Linked DNA regions of Caenorhabditis elegans. The protein of the gene in region 1 interacts with the protein of each later gene in a pairwise test. Each region holds a gene or a part of one and is shown in the gene's direction. Other genes may lie near its edges.

Region 1 (10,569 bases):
AGAAAAAGTATTAGCAGTCGAAAATTGTCAACTGTCACTATTTTTCTAAACGATTGCGTATTTTGATCGAAATGTCTCAAAAATTCCAAATGTTTCTTAACTGGTGATACTCTACTTTCAAATTTTCGTAATTTTTCCAATCTTACTGCTTTAAATAACTTTTATAAATACCTTGTCGACTTCATCTTTGAATTTCTGATTTTCAAACATTTCATTGACATGATAAACTGTTTGACGGCTAAGCATTGAATGTAATCCACATACACAATAGCTTCTGGATTTACTGAAAAAAAGTAGCTGATAGAAATTTGTGTTTCGTGAGTAAATACATACTCTTTCCCAACATTGCTGAACCATAAGCTGAATTCATCATGATTGCATACTATTTCAAATGTTTGATTCATCTCTACTTTCTTTTTTTCTGGAAGATAGTAGACAGCTTGCATCCAGTGATCCCTCCACTGCAATACAACGATTTTTTCGTGCAAATTTAAAAATAAAGATTACTGCATAGTTATTTTTATTCTTCCATTTTGGTCCCATATCAATGAATGTTGTACCATTCCTATCCATATCAATATCCCACCACATAAGTAATGCATCAATAGTTCCAGATGAATGAGCAACTGCTTCACGAACAAAAGACTCATCGAAAATTATTTTCTCTTCGTGTTCGAAATCAAATTTGAAGGCAACGATCGGCTCGGATAGTTCTCGAAATTCGTGGGTTTTCATTTCAGATAGTTGAACATCGAATACAGCCGCAGTTCCAGAACATCTTCCCAGGGGTTCTTCATCTGAAAATTTTCAATTCTCATAAAATCCAAAAAAATGAAGCCTCTCTGAACCTTTTTCTCCATTTAGCCTAGGAATATCATTGAACATTTTTAACAGATGGCTCTCCACAGGAACAATATACACATTTCCAGTTGATGGAACAACTCGACATCCTGGTTTCGCAAGTCTTTCAAGAGCTTCTTTGAATGTTCTCAGAGCTCCTTCTCCAATTAATTCTGTGTCAAATACCTCTGCTACAATGATATCTGCACGTGAACCACCAATTTGTGAAACATCAGTAGATCTCTCAGAAATTACAGTAATCTTATCTGACCATGGACTATTGCTTGTTATATGTCTTGCACAATCTCCCATTGGTTTGAAAACTTCCAATGCAGTCACTTTATCAGCTCCTTCTCGAGCAGCCATTAGTGAAAGAAGTCCAGTTCCAGTACCTGTAAATAGTAAACTTTAAAAACCGAATAAGTTGAAAACTTAACAGCTAACCAATATCTAAAACATGAACTTTCCCATCTGTATTTTCATGTTTTTTCTCAGCAATCGTAGTTTTTAATCCTGCGAGGAACTTGTCATTTCTATCAAAATCCAGAATCATATCTCCAAATCGACTTCTGAAAATTAACGTTTTAAAGCAAGAAAATGCGAGAAGTATTGTTTATTAAATTTTATTTCTATGCGGAATATTTTTTTAAAGTTGAAAACCTGGCAAGTTCCTGAGCCATATCATAATCCTCTTCAGCCACAACCCATTCTCGTTCGCCGGTTTTTTGATTTATCTTCTCAAGGAACATTTTTCAGAAAACCCTGCAAATTGTCTATCTTAAAGATATGCTCGTTTTAATGATACACTCAAGATATTTGCGATATGCACACAACTGCCAATTTACCACTTTAAAATCCAAAGAAACGAAATCAAGGAACGGAAGACTTATTTTTCATATTTGTTCAAATAAAAGGGGTTCATGCAATAAAAATAGTGCAATCAATTGGGAAATTGGGAAACTATACACAAAAATGTAAAAATAAATATGAAATAAACAGGAGCCAGAAAATGGAAATCAATGGGAAAGAAGTGGTGATGGGGACAAAGTACACAATTTCGAAAAATACCGCATTTTGGTGGAGGGATGGAAACAATATTTTGATGGGCCGAGATTAAATTGGAAAAAAGCTTCTAAAAACTCACTTTTTGAAAACTAAATATCTCAAAAGATCAGAAAGCGTTACTCATTTTTTGTTATGTAAAAATATGATAAGAAAACATTATCATTTTTTAAAAGTTTCCTTCTGTTTATTGAAACAGACAGCGTTAAAACTATAACTCTGGGTATTTTGAGATTTTTCTCGTGAGCGGAGAATTTAGAAACATTTTAAAATTTAAGCGGTACGAATTTTGCCAGGCACGTAGTTTTTGTCAATAGTTGGCTCCTGGAGGAAAATATGGAGAGAGCGTTCGTTTTGAGCAAGTGGATGTCCAGCAACCCTGCAAGAACATATTATTAAAACTTTTAGAAATGTGAAAATTTTCTGAGTTCATTTTGATGTCCGTATAGTTGAACAGTTTTACGTACTTATTGATGAATAACTCGAGAGCTTTGCGCCTATTTTCAATGAATTCCTCTTCAAAAATTCCATCATCGGATCGGAATGGCAGTTGCCGTTTGAATGATTTTCCTGGCAACGTTGGAACCACAATCTTGCTATCTCGCTCTAGTTCAGCACGAACCCATTCGAAATCACTGTATCGGCGACGCACGCTTGATTCTTTCTGCTTGAAAACGGGGAGATTCGACTGAAACAACGATTTTATTATGCGGTCAGTGTTAATCTATACTTACTCTCATTCTGATTTCGTAATCCGTGTAGCGCATTTTTCCAACACCATGAGTGATAGGATTGATAACCTGCAAGTTATCTTGATCTAATTCATTGATTTTTATTCAAACCTCAATTTCAAGGAAGTTGGCCGGCGGGGCATATGCCTCGTCCAGCGTTTGCCGTTTTGAAGGGATCCGCTGAGTTGCCGACGCGCCGGATGCCATTTGCACTGCAAATATTCTAAATTATATCAAAGTTGCTTTGAATTGTTTATTTAAGTATCGATTTTCACAATATAAACAAAATAAAAGTGAAATTTATGTTGGAATCCAAAGCTTTAATCGACAACATGCGAGAACATCGTTTGCTTTTTGTTTCGCTGTTCGGCAAACTAAAATGGAAAAAATAATATGAAGCTGTGAAAAATCAATAAATAAAACTGGAATTTCAAGGAAATTACGGCAAAAATGACTCATCGCGCGCCGATAAACAAAACGAATCAAGAAATGAAAAAAGTGGCAAAAGTACGCAAACACTTTTGTGTTAATGCACACAAAAAATTCAACCGTACCTCAAACTGAAATTTCAAAAGCAGACACCGCAGATTCATGGAATGAAAAAGCAGTGACTCGCTATGACTCAAAATTTTAAAAAGATTATAATTGATTCAAAAGCAAAAAAATGTTTCACAACAAATCTATGTTGTAAAATAATTGTTAAATTGAAAATTAATAGCTGACACCGCCCTGTGTCCGTGTTTCGTCTTCTTCGAAACTTTGTTTTCGTTCAAGATGGCGCGGCGCCGTTCTTTTTGAATAAAAAGAGCATTTTAAAAATTTTGTTGAATTTCTGTAAATTCTACTTGTTTATTCAGTTGTTCTGCGAAATTAAAGATTTTCTTAGTTTTCAGGAATGCCAAAAAAAACGTTCGAAAATTTAGAAGATAGTCATGGAAAAGATGTTAATATCCCAGTTGAACTGCCAAAAAGGAAACGAGAAGTTACACCGGAAAATTTGTGAGCTTTTATAAAAAATTCAAATTTTAACACATACCGTATTCCCTCTATTAGTCTTGCATGCAAGACTAATAGAGGAAATACGGTAATAGTCATGCACCCCTATTCTTGCCAGGCCAGCAGTATTTTGTCAAAACTTCAAAATTTTCGCCATTTTTTAGCTAAATTAAATTTTAAACTGTTCAAGTAATTGATAAAACAATAGAAAAGCATGTATTTTGCATGATTTAGACTGTTTCAAGTCAAAATTTTGACGATAAATGGCCAATTTAACAAAGCTATTGGATCTTCGAAAATTAGTCTTGTAGCCTCTAATAGTCTTGCAGTCCCTATTAGTCTTGCACCCCTACGGGTCTATTGAAAATTAGTCTTGCATGCAAGACTAATAGAGGAAATGCGGTATATTATTTTCAGACCTTCCACAAGCTCTACTGCTCCAACACAAAAACGGAAAAGTCTAGGATATTCAGGACGAACGGAGGAACCGAAAAATGTATTAATATTTTTAGTTGCAATGAAATACAATTCGGAACTTAATTGTAATTGTAATTTTTAATGTTTTTCAGATACACAAAACCTTCATTTCCCCTTTTTCTACGTCAGTTTCTCCTTCAAAACAAGGTCTTCGACGACGAAAGAAGGCACTGCCTGCCATAGAACCACCTGTATCTGTAGAAGAAGCAAGTCCATTACGTTTTGTGAATATCGATGTATTCTCTAGACGTATGGCTTCCGAATCATCAGATCACGATGCTATGATTGCGAAGTTGTTGTCGAGAAAGTTTTCAATTCCGATGGAGGGATATATGTGTAAGAAAACATGTAAAAATGTTTATTTTAAACGAGTTTTCAGTATCTGGTCGAAGCCTAGGTCTTGGTGGAAACCGTCGAAAATGTGCTCTATTTGATCCATATCATGAAGGTGCATTGATTCTTTATGCTCCTGAACATCTTAGTGAACACGCACAACTCAAGGAAGATAAGGATCGAAAGGTGAGAATTTTAGCTGCGAGAATCGAAAAAAAAACATGAATAAAAAAAACGACTCAAATATTGCAAAAATATGAATGTCCATTTTATCAAATTTTTCAGGTGCACGTGGTAGCCGATCCGGTTGTTGGAAAAATCCTGCGTCCGCATCAAAGAGATGGTGTTAAATTCATGTGGGATTGTGTGACTGGTATTAATATTCCCGAATTTCATGGATGTATTATGGCTGATGAAATGGGTCTTGGAAAGACACTTCAATGCATTTCTCTACTTTGGACACTTCTACGACAAAGTCCCGATGCGTGTCCAACAGTTTCGAAGAGTATTATCGTTTGTCCAAGTAGTTTGGTGAAAAATTGGGATAAAGAAATCAAAAAGTGGTTGGGAACACGGCTGAATGCGATGCCAGTGGACAGTGGAAAACGAGAACAGATTATTGCTTGTCTCAGTGAGTGAATAAACTTGAAATCTTGAAGAAAATGTTATAAACCCCTGAAATTAAGTTAATTTTCCAACTTCAGATTCATTTATGGCGGATTCAAAAATGCGTTGTGCCATCCCTGTTCTCATTATTTCATATGAAACATTCCGTCTTTATGCGAATATTCTTCATTCTGGAGATGTCGGAATCGTTATTTGTGACGAGGTAGATACTGTATTGTTTTGACTCTATTTAAAACGAGCTTTTCAGGGACATCGACTCAAAAACAGCGAGAATCTGACGTATCAGGCGTTGAGTGGTCTCAAATGTGCTCGAAGAGTCCTGATTTCGGGTACACCTATTCAAAATGACTTGTTAGAGTATTTTAGGTACTATTTGTTCAAAATATTCAATTATTTTTAATTAACTTCAGTTTGGTCAATTTCGTGAATCCCGGACTTTTGGGTACTGCAAGTGAGTTCAGGAAGAAGTTCGAGAATGCTATTCTAAAGTTAGTTATTTTTATTCCCAATTTTTTTAATCCGTGATCTTTTCTAGAGGTCGCGACGCCGACGCAAGTTCAGAAGATCAGAAGAAAGGTGAAGAGAAAACGAAGGAAATGATTTCACTTGTAGAGAAATGCATTATTCGAAGAACATCAGCTCTTTTAACAAAATATCTTCCGGTATGATATGAAAGTTTCTGATTTCTAAATAAAATTATTTAATTTCAGGTTAAATATGAGCACATCATCTGCTGTAAAAACTCAACACTTCAAGAGACACTCTACAATAAACTTATCGAATGTGAAAAACAAAACCGCATTGTCGAAAAGGACAAGGTATTTTGTTTGAAAATTCAAAAAATACAAATAAATTGTTTTTAGGGTGCCACCGCATCTGCTCTTTCGTTTATCACTCATCTCAAAAAGCTTTGCAATCATCCATATTTGGTTTATGATGAGTTTCAAAAACCTGATAATAGGTTCAGAAACAGTGAGTTTAGAATTTCAGATTTATAAAAATGTATTCAAAATCAAGAAAAAATCGGAGCATTTAAAATCGGAAAAAAAAGTTCAAAATTTAACTATAAATTTCAATGTTTCGTAAAGCTTTGTTTATGCTGATGAAAAAAAAAAGAAAACGTATAATATTCTTCAGAAAAAACCAAAATTTTAAGATATTTTTCGAAAATTCAAAAAAATTTTTAATATCGGAAAAACAAAAAAAAGGTTTCGATTTACGATTTTAGTGAAAAATCGAAAAACCGACACCGTTTTTCACAAACTTCTGAAAATAATTTTCAGAATGTCTATCCATATTCCCTGAATCATTTAACCCGAAATCATTTGATCCATCGTTTTCTGGAAAAATGAAAGTTCTCGATTATATTCTCGCAGTCACTCGCAAAACAACTGATGACAAGTTTGTTCTCGTATCAAACTACACACAGACAATTGATCAATTTATGGAGGTAAGCGAATTTCCAAAAAAAAAATGATTTATGATAAAAATCTAGACCGACTTAAATGTGGAGTTCGCTTCAAAAAATCATAAATAGTCTCAAATTCAGAAAATTCACAACGGAGAAAACGAAAAAAAAAGTCAACTTTAAAAAATCAATTTTCCATGTTCGGCTAAATGTTCTGTTTGAATTTCCTTCAAAATGAGAAGCCCACTTTCCAAAAAAACAAGGAATTTAAAATGTCGATTTGTTTTTTTTTTCGCGATTTGTTTGCTTTCTTTTGTGGGTTTTTTGGAATGTATGACTATTTTGGATTTTTTGAAGCAAATTCACCACCTTTAAAATCTAGACCGACTTATAACGTGGTCACTTAAACTTTGAAACTTCTTCACTTTTCAGCTGTGCAAACTTCGTGGCTATGATTTCGTGCGCCTTGATGGTTCAATGTCAATCAAACAACGTTCCAAGATTGTCGATACATTCAATGATCCAGCCAGCACTATCTTCTGTTTCCTTCTTTCTTCGAAAGCTGGTGGATGTGGTCTAAATCTTATTGGAGCCAATCGATTAGTTATGTTTGATCCGGATTGGAATCCAGCGAATGACGATCAAGCAATGGCGAGAGTTTGGAGAGATGGACAGAAGAAAATGTGTTTCATCTATAGACTTTTAGCAACTGGATCAATTGAAGAGAAAATGTTTCAACGTCAGACACATAAAAAAGCATTGTCATCGTGTGTGGTAAGATTTCCTCTTGTTCATATAATCTAAAAATGTTCTAAAGACTACTAGAACTAAAATGTTAAATTTTGCGATTTTGTCAAAAAATTCGGTTCCCCGCTTCGACTTTTCTCAAATGCAAATGAGTGTGCGCCTTTCAGGAGTACTGTAGTTCTCAATTCCTCGTTATCGTGAAACTTTTTTTTAATTTTTTGCTATTTCTTTTTCGCCTTTTCAAATACTGTATTACATGTATCTTAATTTGCTGAAAATTCTGAAAAAAAACCTAGAACCACGGTACTCTTTAAAGGCGCTCGCCATTTTTAATTGAAAAATTGGTCGTGTCGAGACGCGGTAACTAACTTAATTTTAGAGTGAAAATTGCAGATTATTATGTGGTTATTATTATCAGTATCTGGGTATTTAATAGTTATCTTAAAAATTTCAGGTTGATGCGGGTGAAGACGTAGCTCGTCATTTTAGTTCCGAGCAACTTCGAGAACTCTTCAAGTTGGAATCAACAGTGGCATCGGATACACATGAAAAGTAAGTATCAGAATGAAAATAATATTTTTTATAAAACCGATTTTATTTTTGGTGAATTTTTCTTCTGATAGTTATAATAATGTTATGCATTATAATGTACAATTGTATAAATTTCTTTCAGATTAAAATGTAAAAGATGTATTCAAGGAGTTGAAAGTGTTGATCCACCAACCAATGCGGACTGTGCAAGTGATTTATCGAATTGGTTTCATTCTCAGAAATCAGCTAGAAAAGTTTGTATTTATTATCTTTATTTTTAAATATTTTAATTTTCAGGTGGCTGATAATGTGCTCCGAGCCGTCTTCGAATGTGGATCGATCTCCTTTGTTTTTCATCAGAAATCGCACAACGTAGGTTTAAAAAAACTACGTCTATGGTGCCAAAATTACCAAATATAATAGTAAAATGTTTCAAAAAAAAGTGGAAATCAAAAAGTGACAATTGCTCAGTTTTTGTCACTCAAAATTTTGGAAGTCGACTAAAACAATTTTCCAAAACCGACTGGATTTTTTTTTTGGAAATTCTTTCGAATTCTAGTTGTGTAGTTTATTTTTCTAATTCTGTAATTTTTAAATTGTCTGTGATATATAATTTAGAATCATTGAATTAATATTTCCATGCTTCAAAATAGCGTTTTGCAGGTTGAAGTCAAGAAAGTTCAGGAAAAAGTTGAAGAAGTTGATGAGGACTACGTGCCTTCTGAAGCCGAAGAAAACGACGATTAGTTAAATGTTTCCAAGTTGAAACAAATCTAGAAGTCTCCCTATTTCATAACATAGACTATCTATGCGATGAAAACGGGACATGTTATATTGTTTTGTTATTTATTTAATTTGTTTCTTTCAATTTTTGTTCCAAGTCATCCCAATATCATTTTTATCGCCCGATCTCATGTAAAATACACCGCCTGCAATATGAATTTTCAATTTATTTTTCAAATTCAGACAAAAAAAAGACAAACTTTGATCAAATTGTGGGTGGGTTGGAAACGAAAGGGGTAGTTGGTAGTTTTTTTTTGCACAAAAATACATTGATACGATGTACAAATTTTCAGAAAAAAAATTCATGAAAAATGTTGAGAAAGAGGAAAAAATTATGCAAAAAAAGACATTATTTTGTAATTTGAGGGAAGAAATTATGCCTATTATTATAATAAAAACTTTAAATTTTCCGGGAAAGGTCAGGCGCCAACAGGTATGAAATGAATATATTATATTTTTTGAGCTTTGATGATGTAAATAAAACGGAAATGTTGATTATCGATCGATTTTTTTTTCAAATTTGAAAAATCAAAATCGACAATCTTCGACTTAGACAATAAATATGCAAAATGTCGCAAAAAATTCAATTTTTTGGGGGAATATTTTGGTCAGAATCAGTTCACTTTTTACAGGTTTGAGTTAACCTATTTGAGGTAATTGACTAGAAGAAATTTTTTTAAAAATATGGAAAAGTTACAAAACTACTAGGCGATTTTACAACTATTTAAATTTAAAATTTGAAGAAAACACTTTTTTGTGGCTTTAAGAATGGAAGACACCAGATGGAGATGAAGCCAAGCAATGTCTGCACCTGTAAAATGTTTGGGTTACTGTAAGGTTACTGTAGCTATGAAGTTCTACATTTTTAAGGTGGTGTAGAGTAAATGGAAAGTTCGCTTTTAAAATATCCAGAAGAAAATCAGTACAAATGAAAAATACCTAACTCTAAAAATTGGGAATGAATTTCCTCCAATAGGAAACGCCACGCCCACTTCTAATTTCATTAGTGCAAAAGTGGGCGGGGCGATTCGCTGATTGGTCTTGCAGTTCTTATTTTTCGAGGAAGTTTCAAGATATTTTTTTTTTTAATCATAATTTGAAAATCGAGTAAATTTTTTTTTGTTTTTGTTTTTTTACTTTTTGGAAATTCAGACTAGTTTGGGTATTTTAAAGAAAAATTCCCACAATACTACACCTCAAAAGCAATTTAATTTTTTAAAAAGATTATTAAACGCTATTAGCGTACACTAGATTGTTCAAAAATTAATTTTCTGAAAAAATATTATTTTCCAATGCATTGGGAAGAAGACTCGTAATTTTTACTCAATTTTTCCTTTAAAATTTTTTGAAAAAAATTTCATTACAACTCATTTTCAATAATTTAAGTTCACAGACGTTATTTAATTTTTTGCATAACATTTTTTAAATTTATTTCTCTAAAGAATTCAGATCAAAACTTCAAATACTTACCTATAAGAAAGAAACATTGGCGTAGAGAAAAACGTGAAGAAAACCGAAAGAAAAGTGGGCGGGGCTTGTTGATCCGTTTTGATAATTGTGAAATTCGAGCTCATTATTCATTTTTCATGCATAACTCGTTTTCAATTTTGAACATACGCACTGCGGTCGACACGATGTGGCTCTCCTTCTTCGTGGTGTTACTTGCAACTGAAATATTTAACATTATTTAGGGCAACGTTGAACTTTTTGCCGAAGAGTTGTGAAATATATTATTTTGTATTTGAAAGTGCCAGTGGGGATTTCGTCAAAATATACTCGGAATGAATTAACAAGAGAAATATCTTAAGTAAAATGATTTAGAATTTTCGAAACATTTATTCATAGTTTTGGTAAATTGCCAAACTTTTTGAAAACTTGAAAACTTTGAAATTTAAAAATAAAGTCAATCAAGTTAGAACCTCTAAAATTTTCAAATATAAATAGTTGAAGCATAATACTTTTTGAAAACCTAGAGAAAAAACTTTTTAAATCGACTTTTAAAGTTATGATAGGTGCAAATTGGCTGTGCGTAAT
Region 2 (6,779 bases), on another chromosome or scaffold:
TATTACATTTTTAAATTAGTCAAATATTTTCAGAGCAAGAACCTGTTTTATTATATTATGGGTTACACATTTTATCTTGCGAGCTATACTTAAAAACCGACTGTTAATATAAATGTTCCATGGAGCCTAAAAATGTATGATTTTGTTACAACTCATTGATAACCATAGTGCCGCTCACTATAGAAATGACACAATGGACAAGAAAAGATCAAAATTTATCCAAAAAAGATAGGTTCCACCGAGATTTGAACTCGGGTCGCAGGATTCAAAGTCCTGAGTGCTAACCGCTACACCATGGAACCCGGTGAGCTTCGAGAACTTGCTCCGAAAGAACATTCGGTTAATAGACATGCTGAGTTTGCTAATGCACTTATCGGGAAGGCCCAGTCGCTCAGTTAGCAGTGAGCACATGAGCGGCTACAATGTGCTAAAGAGTGTCTATCGCAGCGATCAACATTTCTAAATGTCAATTCTGATAGCAAAGTTTTATGGATAACAATTCTGTGTTAATGTAGTTTCCATATACCTTTTTTCGGGTTTCAAAAACTTTATCTTTGGTAAACATCTTTTTTCTGTGTGAAACTTAATTAGTGTATTCTGTTGCTACAATTGTTTCTACCCGATTAATTGATAACTACAGTAGCACTTGCAACAGAGTTTGTACAACTAAAAAAACCTCCAGAACAAACCATAAATATATTCAAAAAAGATAGGTTCCACCGAGATTTGAACTCGGGTCGCAGGATTCAAAGTCCTGAGTGCTAACCGCTACACCATGGAACCCAGCGATCTTCAAGAAGTTTCTCCGAGTTGACAATAAGCTAGCTTTTGATGGACATGTTGCGTTTGCTTATGCACTTATCAAGAGCATTGGAGCTTCCTTAAGAGTGAGCAAAAGGGCGGCTAGCTGTTCGGCGCAAACAAAAAGAATGACTGAAGTCTGCAAAACTAATTTCCGAGAGATCACTATTTTTATTAACAAAATTCAATTTTTTGAAGACATTTATTAAAATACTGGGAGTTTGAAACAAATATATTTCAGTACTAATTGCAATACTAACTTTGTAAAGTGCTTGAACTCATGGTAATCAATCTTCAAAATGTATGATTATAAGACCTGCCCTTTGATACCAATGATTCAGTTTACTGTTATTGAGAGTTTCATTTTTATATTATTTTTGGTAAACCCATTATTCTTCTTATTAATCTTTTTCAATTACCACTCATTTGCCATAAAGAGAACAAGACCGCTGACAATCGGCCACCCTGTGGATCTTAATCGGTTTCCCAAAAGAAACAATTATGGATGTTGTTAGATTACAATCGACTGCAGGTAGAAATATTTTATATTTTTCTAATAAGCAGCAAGACTTCAAAAAGAACATTATTTATATGTTTACCTGTTTCCCAGCATGAAATTACTCGTTAAAGGAAGAGTTTCCTGGCAGGGGAATAATGTTTGAAAATATTAAAATTATACTAAAATTGGCAAAAAAAAATCATGATTGCAAATGCTCAAACAGTCATAATACCAAATCTCTGACTAAACTTTTCGGCAAATCGAAAGTTTGATGACGTATTTTTTAAATACAGTAAATCCGTCCGAACTTGAAATATGAATATTCGCTCTTTCAAAAATGTCAAAATTACTTTTTCATCATCTGAAATACACCTTTCAAGATAAAACACAGCGACGTTCGATCTATTGTGATTTGTGCCACTAAGTTTTAAAAAGCAAATCCAAGGTTTTTTTTCAGTTTTCTGCCACTAATATTGGACACAAATTTTAAAAAAAAATCAAGCTGAAATTATGAGCAATTGGTGGCCAAGAATTTTGATTCAGTCAATATTCTACTATTTTTTCTGTACTTATCTACCCTCTAGATATTTAATTTTCAAGTACTTCAGACTTTGAAAAAACAACCAGTTTTGATATTTTCACTTTTTACTTCACTTGAATTGAACAAGAGTTGAATAGTATTAATGTTTTAATGGTAGGTCAGATGTTCTGAAAACCTGAAATAGCAGTTGAGAAAAAGCAATTTCAAATTTCGCATTCAGTATTCACAATGAAACAGTAGTATTGAAAGTACGGCATTCCTTTCTGTTGTGGCCATTTTCTTTGTTCTCGTGTGGTTAGCCATCTTCAATTTGATGCTTTTGAAGAAAATGCGAGACGCCGAAAAAAAGGAAAAAAGCGATGAGTGGAGTAGAATGACGTAGATCGTTGCAATACAAAGAATCGCCAAAAAAAGGAGGCGAATTGATACCAGCTTTCTCGAACTTCTCCTCTCATTGTTCTGTTCCCTCGTTTGGCTTCTGCCTCATTTACTTGTACAGCTTTACACAAAAAAACCATAACAGTGTAAAGCTTATGATCTACCTACTTCTTTGAGCGACTTCAAAATTTGACCCATAAATCACAAATAGTGTAAACCCAAATACAAACGTAAACTAACCCAAACCTATATTTTCAAAGTCAACGTCATTATTAATTGATGCGATAGACTTAGCTAAAGACTCAATTATCTAACGGCTACATCAAGATATAAACATAATGATCATAATTACTCATATTGATAGATGAGCGTAGAGATGATGTCACTGATAAAAAGAGGGCCAGCAGTTGTTTTTGAGGTTTCTGGTTCATTTCTTGGTTTTCTCAATTTTCGTAGTCGATCAAAGCAACACAAAACATAAAACACCAAACTTGCTAAACAGTCAATATATAGAAAAAGAAAAATTGTTTCCACCCGCTGCGACATTGACTAGTAGATCAAATTTCAAATTTTAACAATTTTAGGTCATTTTTTGAGCCGTCATTAGGTTTTTTTTTGAGAAGTTTTTAACAAGTTTCATTATGAAATTCGGTGTTTTCAGACAATTTTGAGACTAATAAAGCAATAATCCAATGTACTGCTTTTAAGAAAGAAGAGTAGGCATTTCAACATTACAAGTATCACTTTAATATTTTTTATTTATGTTTGAAATACATTTCGAATTCGGGTAGGAACTCACAAAAACGATAAATTGGACGGTTGTGTTAAGTGGTAACACAAGAACACTATAGTTTTCTTTTATGTCTATCGTATATCAAATTGGATACAATCAGAAAATTGAGACACTTTTAGTTTCATATGCACAGTAAAGGGAATAAGAGAAAAACGACTGGATAATACATTAATTGTCGAACAAGAGCACTTCTATACACTTCACTATACAAGCAGTTTCTTAGAAAATGCCAAAAGATTAACTCCATTCAAAATGACACTTCCTACATTTTTCACTAAAGTTCAAGAAACCCCAAGTTTCAAAAGGTCAACTATCTCTGTTGTGACGACATAAGTGACAATGGTGTCAGATCACTCTTTTTTCTATTTCAGGGGGTCGCCGTCGTCTTACTCTCCTCACCTTACTCTTGTTTCGTTTTCTCTGAGAGGTGGGGGTCGCGTGCCTAGGTAGGTGTATGGGCAGCCGCCTTTCGCGAAACAAAACTCACTCCGCCCACTGTATTCTATCCTATCACGTCGACGACTTCGACGTCTTCTCCTCCAGTGGCCAGTGTGTCGAGAAACACGACTTGCGTTAATGACGACCCGAAGAATCGTACTGTTGTGTGCCGTTGCCGCGTGCGTCTCAGCCGCCTCCTCGGAGATCTCTGTCCGCATCGAAAGACACTTCCCATGCTCAGCTAGTTCAGGTTTGTTTCAGTTTTTTTTATTTTTTGATGTTGCTTAATTTATAGTGAAATGGTCAAGGAACCACTATCAAGTTTAAAATCCAACTCCAAAATTATGATACGAAACACTTTTTAGTGTCCCCGAATTTTTGAATGTTTGAATATCTGAACTTTGAAATACTAAATAGAAAACATTCATTGGTATTTATTAAATAGGATCATTTTTATTACTGTAGGCTTTGCAAATCACAAGCGCCCCAAAAAACCGTGTTCATTTATGCCATTAGCAATTAATATTATACCATTAGCTATTAAGCGTACGGTTTAAACAAACAAAAACAAATAGTGAAAATGCATCAACGGAAATCTGATATGTTGTTTGGGATAAAGTTTGATTTCAAGCTACAAGTTTAACTATTTTGAGGGTCAAAAATTTTCACGTCGAAATCAACTTGTATACTTTTTGTTTAGCCATTCAAACTCTATGTTTTAGTTCCCTGTTTCAATACAACATAATCAACAAAGGTGAACACTTCAATTTTTCATAAAATCCAGTTTTTTTCCCAATTGACCAATAAAATTAGACACTTGAAATTAGTTCAATAGTCCATTGACTGTCTACTCACGTCATTTTTTCTGCGAACAAAAAAAACGTGTTTTTAATTCAATTGTCCACCTATCCAAAGCTTCTCGAGACATTGCTCTACCCGGCGACCCAATCAGTTGTTTGATTAGGGATATAGAAAAAAAAATTGATCGAACTGCAGCCGACGGCTAGGAAGTGCGTGGCCTTGGAGACGCCATACTGTTGTATCGTCAATGATATCGATAACAGAGTAGAGGGGGTAGGCTATCAGAAAGAAAAACTGACGTCCCGATTTTATTTTATCTCTATTTCCATTATTTCCTGTTTTGTGGAACGCTTCGCCAAATCCCAGGTCGGAAAAGGATGGGGATTTTGCAAAAAAACTGACAAATCTAGCACTGTGTTCGATTTTATAAGTTGATAATAAATCACACAAATGCGAAAGGTCACGTAACTAGTACAATTTCGGAAAATTCAAAAGACTGTATGTATCTCTTTAAAAAAAATTCAATAAATTATGAAGGCTCTCCTAAACATTATTATTTTTTAATTATTGAATTCAATTTTCAATTTTTCAGGTCCAAAGAAAGATTCTTTGCTCATCAAGTTCCCATCATACAAAACCGCCGGAGTTCAATTCCACGAAGAAATTGGAGAGAATGGACACAAATGCTTCAGAATGTCCGGTGGCAAAGTTGAGGTTAGTGATCAGCTCGTTGCAAACCAGAATAAACATTTCATCAATTTAGGTTTATGCCCCAGGACTAAATGGCTCCAAGAAATACTATGTGCATCTTGAGACAAGAATCGGAATCCACGGAAAGCCAGAACGATGCGTAAATGCTGATGCTAATGGGTGTGGAGGAATCGGATCATGGTGAGGGAATAAAGTCGGAACGTGTACCACAAAAACCAGTCAGAGTGAAGATTGCGCTTCAAAGTTTTAAAACTAATTTTTGGGGGTAGTAATCTAAAAATACACACTGAAATCAATCTGAACAAGGTTAACTGAAAGTTCAGAAGGTTGTATTCAGCATAAAACATTATGTAATAAAGACTCTTATGGCTAACCTCGGAAGATATCGGACGTTTTTCAACATCAACTTCGAACTTTTGAATTATGAATCCCTGGTCGGCTTGTTCAACTTACAAGCTTTATTCAAAAAATAAAATATCATATGTAATGATGAGATGAAGTGTGTTGGCAATACAAAATTATTTTTATATTCAAAAAAGTTAAATAGAAATGTCTCATCAAAACCTTTTGATTTCAGTGTTCACTGCGACATCTGTCACACTATGGGAGGATCTCTCAAGAACTTTGTTCAAATCTTCCAAGCCGATAAGCCAGCTCAATGCTCTACCACGGTAATATACAATTTGATTAGAACATATCACGAAAAAAACATATATTGCAGGGACTCTCGGCAGGATCATACAGCGACTTGTCCCTCCGCGTGTGCCTTCCAACCAAAAACGAACTTCTCCCATTCCTCGATCAAAACGCCTCTCGTGCCGAGCAGCTCTGGGATCTCTTTGTCAGCTCCCGTGCTCGTTCCGGTGAGATCCCACTTGTCATTGCCGCCCGTCTTTTCGATAGACCAATCAATAATTTGGATGCCAAGACATTGAACACTATTCTTCACGACTCGAAGGAAGGAATGATCGGATGCCACTGGATCTACGCGACGGTGTCCCAGCCAAACTAATTTCACGATTTCATCAGCTTTTTTGTCATTTTTTCTTTTTTCTTTCATTTCACCAATTCCATCGATTCTGGTTGAGTCGGTGTGTGTCTGTATTTCAGTGGACGACCGGGTAAAACCAACAAAATTTACAGCATTCATTCTTTTTTTTAAATTCTTTTAAACTCTTTTTAACTTCACTTATTTTTTTCTCCCCGAAATCTCGATCAAATGCATGCATCTGTATGAATTCTTTCTTTTTTTCTTTTATTATACATAATCATAAATATGTATTCTACAAATTGAATTGAATAATCGAGATTTTGATGTACAACTTCAAAAAAAAACACATTACAAAAAAGTTGAAAAAAAACAATGTCATAAAAAAAGAACCGGTGGGTGGAGGAATGTACAGGCTTCAATATTGGTAGATGTGAACTGGGCAGACTGAATTGCACAACTGTGAACGACAATGAGATCAATGGAAATGTCAACTGGCGAAAAAAAATTAATTAGCATTCACCGGAGACTTCAAGTCAGTTTCATTGGTTGGCGGAGGACTCGGCGTGATCCGACGTCGTTGGAAGCAGCTTTCAAAGCCCATCTGAATATAATAATACTGAATTTGTTCAGAACAGTGAAATAGTTTTACCTTTGCAACTCTCACAATCCACCAATCTCCATGTTCCATATCCTCTTTCTTCGAACTATTACTATCTTTTCTGATCTTCATCCTAGATCCACCATTTGCCTCTTTTTCCTTTTCTTTCATGCTCTTCTTTCTTTGCTTCTCCACGTCATCGCTCATTTTAGATCCTCTTCTCCATGC
Region 3 (7,222 bases), 5.2 Mb from region 1:
TCACACTTCACAAATTTATCAGTCTGATCCCGAATCGCTTTCGATATCACACTGAATGCTTGATCTTCGGCGACAAGTTTCCGAGCCAGACTAGGAACAGTCATGAATTGAACTGATAACCCAACAACTGAAACATCCATCTCATGATCATCTTTAATGAAATCCTCGTAAATTTCATTATAATGTAGCATAAAAGCCTTTGCAAATCGAACTTTCTGATCATAAATCATGAAAACTGTCCGCATGAGCATTTGATGCAAAATCGATCTTCCAGCTTTCCACATTTGTGTATCCTGGAGAAGAATATTCTCTAGCATTGTGAATGTTGAAGAATCTCGTGAAGGACCTGGAGATTCTTGATGTTCTGAAACTCCTGCCAACGCTGCTGTTATCTCTTCTTCATCATCCGCGTCAATTTCCATTTGCAGAGCTTCTCCACCAATATCGTCGTCATCCATTTCATCAACATCCATTCTTCCATCAAGTGCGAATAGTTCTTCCTCTTCATCATCCGGCAAAACCATAACATTTCTGATAATTCCGGCAACTAGACGTTGATCCTCTGACTTCATTTTCCGCGTGTAATTCTTTTTCAGTGCAAACTTTGAACTCAGCAGAATTTCTCCAACAATTTCGCGAAGGGGAGCTGAAAATAAAAACACGATTTCGAATAATGAAAAGAAATAAAAAGAAATAAAAACTAACGAAAAACATCCATCTGTGTGTTGAGCCAAGTAAGAAGGGAGATCGAAAAATTCTGAAGCGCGAAAAGCGTGGTATCCATAACCTTAACACTTAACGGTAGATTATGATTCGATGATCTTCGAATTGACGTTGGATCTCGAGCTGTTTTTCTCTGAACATCATCCTTAGCTTTGGTGCAATCAGCCTTACTGCCAAGTTTCACAGCACTTCGACCTTCTCGATCGACAATTGTGGCTACAAGCATCGCCTGATCCTTTGTACAATGTATGTACAATTCCAGAACTTTGATCACCTGGAAAAAACGGGGAAATTGAAGATTTAATTGAAATTCGGAATATTAATTACTAACAGATTCATAAGTGTGAGTTTCATCATTGTAAAGAACCGTCAAATATTGCTGTGCCTCATTTGTAACCTCTGGCTTCATTTTCTCGAAAATTTCGGGAAGTTTGAGATCATCTTTATGAGTGATCATTGAAAGGGAAAACTGTAAAATGATTTCCACCAGCTGTTCACATCGTTTTTTCAATTCTGGAGCCAACACTGCCGCCTCTTCATCGTCCTTTTTCTCGTGATTTGCACATGCGTAACCTTCTGTCCATGCATCTGCATCACCACAGTCACAATATCCCGAACCGGAGGAAGAGTGCATCTGGAAATTTTTTTTCAATTATAAATTGGATTTACTTAAATATGCGTGTTTTATCATTCATATTCGCTCAAAATAATCAAAAACTTTTCAAGATTTTGTCTATGTTGGTTTAAAATTTCGAGAAAAAGGGCAAGTTTCGGCTAAAATCTGAATGTTTTTTTTCAGAAATTTTCTGTGGAAATTGATTCATTTTGAGGCATCCTCACTTTGTATTTATGAGATTTATGAATTGAAACTTCAAAACACTGAAGACACATGACACATGTCCCATCAGTGGCACAATCCAGACATGTATACGTAAGTTCTCCGTTTTTAAATACATGGCCACAAATTTGTCCCCGTCTTGCAGGATCAACTCCGGCAATGCCATTCATTGCTTCCAGTGTGCTCTTTGTGTTCCGAACGTCTAGTACAAATGCACTGACCAGTGGGGCTAGGAGAATCTCTCCTTGGGAACCTGAAGCAAAATTGGCTTTTTAATATATATGTTTTTTTTTTCAAAAAAACCCACCTAGAATTCGTTCATTCGCGGCTGTATTGTCCCATGGCAAATCCGAATTCACTTCGAACACCTCTGGGACCTGTACAAGCCAGTGCTTGAGCAGCAGCTGGCGTACTTGGGCCCATTCACCCTGTCGAGCTGATTGTATTAAATCGACAATCATTCCATTAGTCGAACTGAAATCGGTAGCTTGATAAAATAGGAGCATTTCATCTAAGAAAAAGAGGATTCGTAAAAGAAAATAAAATATATTGATTATTTTCCGACCCCCCGATTATGCTGCTGATGACCATATCAAAATAAGCGAACGAGAGGACAAAAAGCAGTGATGGGAGGCAAAAATGATGACAGTGGACACTAGGAGAAAGTGAAGGAGATGAGAGAGAACGGGAGGATATAGATTTGCTTCTCTCTCTCTCTGTTTTCGATGCGAGAGTGTTGCCGCAGATAAAGAGCTCTCACGGACTCGGTGCAATGCATCGTGGATTAAATAATTCAACAATGAGGAAATTGAACTATTAAAAATATTGATTATTTTTACGTGTCAGCGAATTCACTGGCGAAGCAATAAAAAAAAACTTTTTTTTAAAATCAGACTTTAGAGCACGTGGACTTTGAATGTTTCACTCATATAACGTCAAAATAATTTAAAACTATATTTTAATAAAAGTTATTTGACTTTAAAAGCAATAAAATATACTTTTTCACCGAAAAAATAACTGATTTCGCGAAAAAAAACAATCTAAAAAAATAAAAATAAAACCCTTGGGAAGTGGATCGTGGCGAGACCCTGAAGGTGAGGCATGCGCCTTTAAGTGTTCGGACTACGGTACACAAATTTCTCTTTTTGTTTTCAATTTCCTAATTTGCGTGGATCGCTGAGAGTTGTTAGATTTTTGAGTTTGTATATAGTTTTCTTTTTTATTTTCATCAAAAATTAAAGTATTTCTTCGTGAAAAGTACTTGGTCAGCAGGAAAAAAAGGTTCTCCCGCGTTTTTACCCCTTTGTGATAGAAAACTTTGCATATTCAGAAGCTTGCTCATCGTTTCGATGATCGAGATCTTTCTTCACATTTCATAACTTTTTTAAAATATCAGTATAAAAAATGGATCAATATTATAAGTTGTAATCGAGAAGTTAGAATAGCAATAGAAACCACAAAGACATTCGGGCCCAAAAATATTTATATTTTCAAACTAACTGCAGCACATGAAATTATCTTCGATTTTTCTCCTTCACGCCGACGTCGCGTGCTCCTCCCAGCCGCCGGCCTAGTCTGCGGTGTTTTTAGGCCATCATTTTCGCGCGACCACCAAATCATTTTTCGAATCTCGACGCGCTCATTTGTGCACTCAAATGACTATTTTCTGCCTCTCTGTCGTTTTCTTTTTGTCAAATAATATTGCTGCCCTTTAAAAATATTAAAAATATCATTCCAGATCAAATGTTTGGAGGATCTGCACCAAAACCGTCGATTTTCGGAGGAACCGCTGCTACCACAACAGCCTCATCTGGATTTTCTTTCGGTAATTCGAGCACATCAACAGCGAACACAGGTATCGATCGATGAAAAATTCAACTAATTTATTTTTTTCGTTTTTAGGCGGAAACACGAATACTACCGGAGGTTTTTCTTTTGGATCCGCACAGCCGAGCACTGGAAGTACTGGACTTTTCGGAAACAGCACAGCTACTGGTAGGTTTTTGGTTTAATAAACTTGTAAAATACGCTCCCGTATTCAAAAAGTATAATTTTAAATTTTTCAGGCTCAATGTTTGGAGGCTCCTCTGCTGCAGCTCCAGCCCCAGCGTCTGCTGGAATCTTTGGAAATTCTGGTGCCGCGGCGCCAGCTCCCGCTTCAACGAGCATTTTTGGAAGTTCTGCAAATTCAGCAGCACCTGCTACAGTAACGTTTGGCGCAAGCGCACCATCAGCTGGTGCTGGCATGTTCGGAGCTAATAAACCAGCTGCTCCAACTGGCGGCTTGTTCGGATCATCCACAAGTACCGCAACAACTGCACCAACTGGCGGGCTTTTCGGTAGCTCAACTGCTGCGCCATCAAGTGGATTATTCGGATCCACGGCCGCTCCAGCAGCACCAGGAGGACTATTTGGAAGCACTTCCACCTCTACAGCGGCTCCATCCGGCGGCTTATTCGGATCTTCAGCTGCTCCAACTTCCACAGCCCCAGCTCCTTCTGGTGGTTTGTTCGGGGCTGCACCAGCTACTAGCAATGCTGCTCCAACCTCTGGATTATTCGGAAATTCAGCACCTGCTGCGACAGCTTCATCTGGTGGACTATTCGGCGCAGCTCCAAAGCCTGCAGCTCCATCGGGAGGTCTTTTTGGTTCTACCGCTCCTGCAACCACCGCTGCAACTACAACTGCCACATCAGGATTGTTCGGAGCACCAACATCTGCTCCTTCGTCCGCTCCAGCCACTGGTGGTCTTTTCGGAGCCTCTACTGCTCCCGCCGCTGCTACTGGAGGTCTTTTCAGCATTGGTGCTGCTTCAGCATCCACTCCATCTGTTGGATTGTTCGGTAATTCTAGTGCTTCTACAACCGCTGCGGCAGCCCCTGCCACCGCCCCAGCGGCAGCTTCAACTGGAGGATTGTTCGGAGCCACCACCGCCGCAGCCGCAGCACCAACCTCATCTACAACTGGGGGATTATTCGGATCTACCGCCGCTGCTCCGGCCGCTTCACTTCCAACCGGAGGTCTCTTCGGATCGTCAACTCCTGCTAAGACCCCAGCCGCACCAACAGCAGGACTCTTTGGAGCATCATCGACAACCACCACATCAGCTCCAGCTACTGGATCTTTGTTCGGAACAGCTCCAGCAACCACAACAGCTACTAGTGCAGCTCCAGCGGCTTCTACTGGAGGATTGTTCGGTGCTTCATCCACAACTACGCCTGCTTCTACAGCTCCGACTGGTGGATTATTCGGAGCAGCAACCACAACTGCTCCCGCCGCAGCAGCTCCGACTGGTGGCCTGTTCGGGGCTGCGACTACAACTGCACCAGCAACTGTAGGTCCGACCGGTGGATTGTTTGGAGCAGCAACTACAACAACACCTGCTACTGCCGCTACATTGGGACAAACTCCATCTACAGTGTCAGCAACTCCATCTCTTCCAACCACAACCAGCACTACTTCCACTCTTCCAAAGCCAGCAGAAGCTACTCCAACTCTTGGACTTGGCCTAGGGCTCACTTCAACACCATTGGCTAAGGGAACTGGGTACATTTTGGTTTACTTTTTAAAAATATAAAAAAAACTCTTAATTTCAGATGGACAACATCAGGACTTAAAGGAGCTGCAACTACATCTGCAGGCCTGAAAATTGGTGCAAGTGGAAGCGACACACTTTCTGAAGAAGAAATCAAAGCAGGACTCGGTGGAAATGATACAAAAGCCTTCTTCACCGCCCTTCAAGAAGTTGTCAATAGTTATCATTCGGAAATTGCGAAGCAGGAACGAGTATTCCATAATAAAATGCTCGAGCTTAATGCTTATGACCGTGAGCTCATTACACTCGAGCCAAAAGTTTTAGGATTGTACAATGAGATGGATGATTTGAGTGGAAGCTGCAAGAAACTGCATTTCAACGTCGCCTCCATGACTTCTGTCTTGAACGATATTGAGCAAAATGTTGTTGAGCTAGAGAACAAGCTGAGCCTTCCAGAATGGCATACTCTTGATTACAAATTCCCACTTGATAGCAGATTTGCGTCGAGACATGATGTTCAGAGAGTGCAAATGTACGTCAAAGTTATTGATTTTTAATGGATTAAATTTTTAAGAAATATATTAAATTTAGCTAAAAACTTCAGTTTTCCCAACTTTTTCTTTGTAAAAGCCGATGGAAATTGATTTTTTTTCATATATTGCCCTATTTGGCATGCTTTGGTTGATTATCTCACGCTGTTCCGTTGATTTGGCTCGATTTGCATCCAATTTTCGTAATTTTTGAATAGCTATCGACTTAAAATATGACTAAATTAACGAATTAACGCCAGATAAATAATCAAAATATGCAATAAATCGGGATAATTCGATAAAAACTATATTTCAGCCGCTGCGACAAAGAAAAAGTTGACAAAATTTCGCAAAATCCTGCCATAAAACTATCAGATTTTTTTCTTGTTGAGAGTTTTTGAATATTTAAGCAAAAAAATCCACAGGTTTTTTTTAAAATCATAATAACTAAAACTTTTTGAAAGCATTTTTTTTGTTTTTTGTTCCGAAAATACTTAACACAATGCAATCGACAGTCTTGAAGACGAAAGAAAAAAAGCAAAAAGCGACAGCCCTGGACCTTACTCCCCTTAAAAATCAAAATAATAATTTCAAAAAAAAATTCCAGCGCTCAAATGATGCTCAACGTGGATTCCCAAATGAAATGTGCGGACTTCGATCTCGATCAAATCACCAAGTCACTTAACACAATGCAATCGACAGTTTTGAAGACGAAAACCGAGACCCCGCTGGAGAAAACTGAGCTTATTATGAAGAAGCAGCTGCAGAAGCTGATGGATCTCTCCACTCAACACGGTACTAATTTTAGAGTTTTTAATCAAATTATTAAATGTCAATTTTTATTTTACAGATGCTACTCGTGATAAGCTGAACAAGCTGAAGGATGACCACAATCTGAAAACGAACAACTCGTCGAAGGCCTAGATTCTTACTTTTTATTTATATATTCATTTTTTCTTTAAATTGAAACTCTAATTCTTTAAACCTATACACTTTCACCTGTTTTCTTCATGATCACCACCATCACACTATTTATTTTTTTTGTTATTGTCTGTTTTGTTGTGTGTTTGGTTGAGTTTGTGAATGAACTTGTTTTTAAAAAATATTGATTATATTTTGGTTTTTTTTTTCAAGTGTTTTTTAAAATTACACTGATATATTTTATATTTTCTTGTTTGGAAAATATTTACTTGTGTATTTTAACTCTACATTTTAAAATTAAATTTTAAATATAATTAATTGTTTTATTTCTTCATTTTTTTTTTTTTTTTGGCTTGGAAAATTTTATTTAACTAAAAAAATTAACATTTTAATATGTGGCCCAAGTTATACCCAAGTATTTACCTCTTGCTCTTTAAATTTCAACGAATTTCGTTGAATTTCCCCCATTTGCGGGGGTCACTATTGTTATCAAAAGATCCTTATCATAGTTTTTGATGCTCTAGAAATTTCTAATTGCTTTTCCTTGTGATTTTGAAAACGTTTACAGTGATGTTTCTCTTTTTTGATTTCATCAATTTATCTTGCATCCCTAGGAGCTCCTAGTCAAATGTTAGTATTTTGTGATTTTTGAAAGTACGGTAGCTGCGAGATCGA

Evidence for each region.
Region 2: the proteins of rad-54.L (region 1) and gmap-1 interact in a two-hybrid assay, tested with the Caenorhabditis elegans proteins (one large-scale study listed by BioGRID).
Region 3: the proteins of rad-54.L (region 1) and npp-11 interact in a two-hybrid assay, tested with the Caenorhabditis elegans proteins (one large-scale study listed by BioGRID).

Annotation. Positions count from the first base shown.
Region 1 is NC_003279.8:9,061,559-9,072,127, forward strand, and holds rad-54.L (DNA repair and recombination protein RAD54-like), read left to right. Parts: upstream 1-3,520; 5' UTR 3,521-3,528; coding exon 3,529-3,632; intron 3,633-4,046; coding exon 4,047-4,125; intron 4,126-4,198; coding exon 4,199-4,442; intron 4,443-4,485; coding exon 4,486-4,625; intron 4,626-4,724; coding exon 4,725-5,070; intron 5,071-5,143; coding exon 5,144-5,268; intron 5,269-5,313; coding exon 5,314-5,432; intron 5,433-5,476; coding exon 5,477-5,554; intron 5,555-5,601; coding exon 5,602-5,728; intron 5,729-5,776; coding exon 5,777-5,884; intron 5,885-5,929; coding exon 5,930-6,038; intron 6,039-6,349; coding exon 6,350-6,516; intron 6,517-6,906; coding exon 6,907-7,248; intron 7,249-7,675; coding exon 7,676-7,773; intron 7,774-7,894; coding exon 7,895-8,006; intron 8,007-8,049; coding exon 8,050-8,124; intron 8,125-8,415; coding exon 8,416-8,499; 3' UTR 8,500-8,706; downstream 8,707-10,569. Other genes in the region: prmt-7 (Protein arginine N-methyltransferase 7), read right to left, coding at 172-283, 334-461, 508-797, 849-1,232, 1,285-1,409, 1,501-1,589; snx-3 (Sorting nexin-3), read right to left, coding at 2,176-2,281, 2,370-2,590, 2,637-2,702, 2,745-2,840; rsbp-1 (Abi_C domain-containing protein), read right to left, coding at 10,120-10,203.
Region 2 is NC_003284.9:12,931,705-12,938,483, reverse strand, and holds gmap-1 (GM2 Activator Protein family member), read left to right. Parts: upstream 1-3,505; 5' UTR 3,506-3,588; coding exon 3,589-3,700; intron 3,701-4,843; coding exon 4,844-4,965; intron 4,966-5,014; coding exon 5,015-5,142; intron 5,143-5,539; coding exon 5,540-5,633; intron 5,634-5,683; coding exon 5,684-5,974; 3' UTR 5,975-6,279; downstream 6,280-6,779. Other genes in the region: C34E7.3 (uncharacterized protein), read right to left, coding at 6,459-6,554, 6,603-6,779.
Region 3 is NC_003279.8:3,814,775-3,821,996, forward strand, and holds npp-11 (Nsp1_C domain-containing protein), read left to right. Parts: upstream 1-3,299; 5' UTR 3,300-3,304; coding exon 3,305-3,416; intron 3,417-3,463; coding exon 3,464-3,556; intron 3,557-3,627; coding exon 3,628-5,107; intron 5,108-5,157; coding exon 5,158-5,628; intron 5,629-6,233; coding exon 6,234-6,421; intron 6,422-6,476; coding exon 6,477-6,550; 3' UTR 6,551-6,722; downstream 6,723-7,222. Other genes in the region: E3 ubiquitin-protein ligase ubr-1, read right to left, coding at 5-646, 706-997, 1,055-1,357, 1,564-1,814, 1,869-2,022.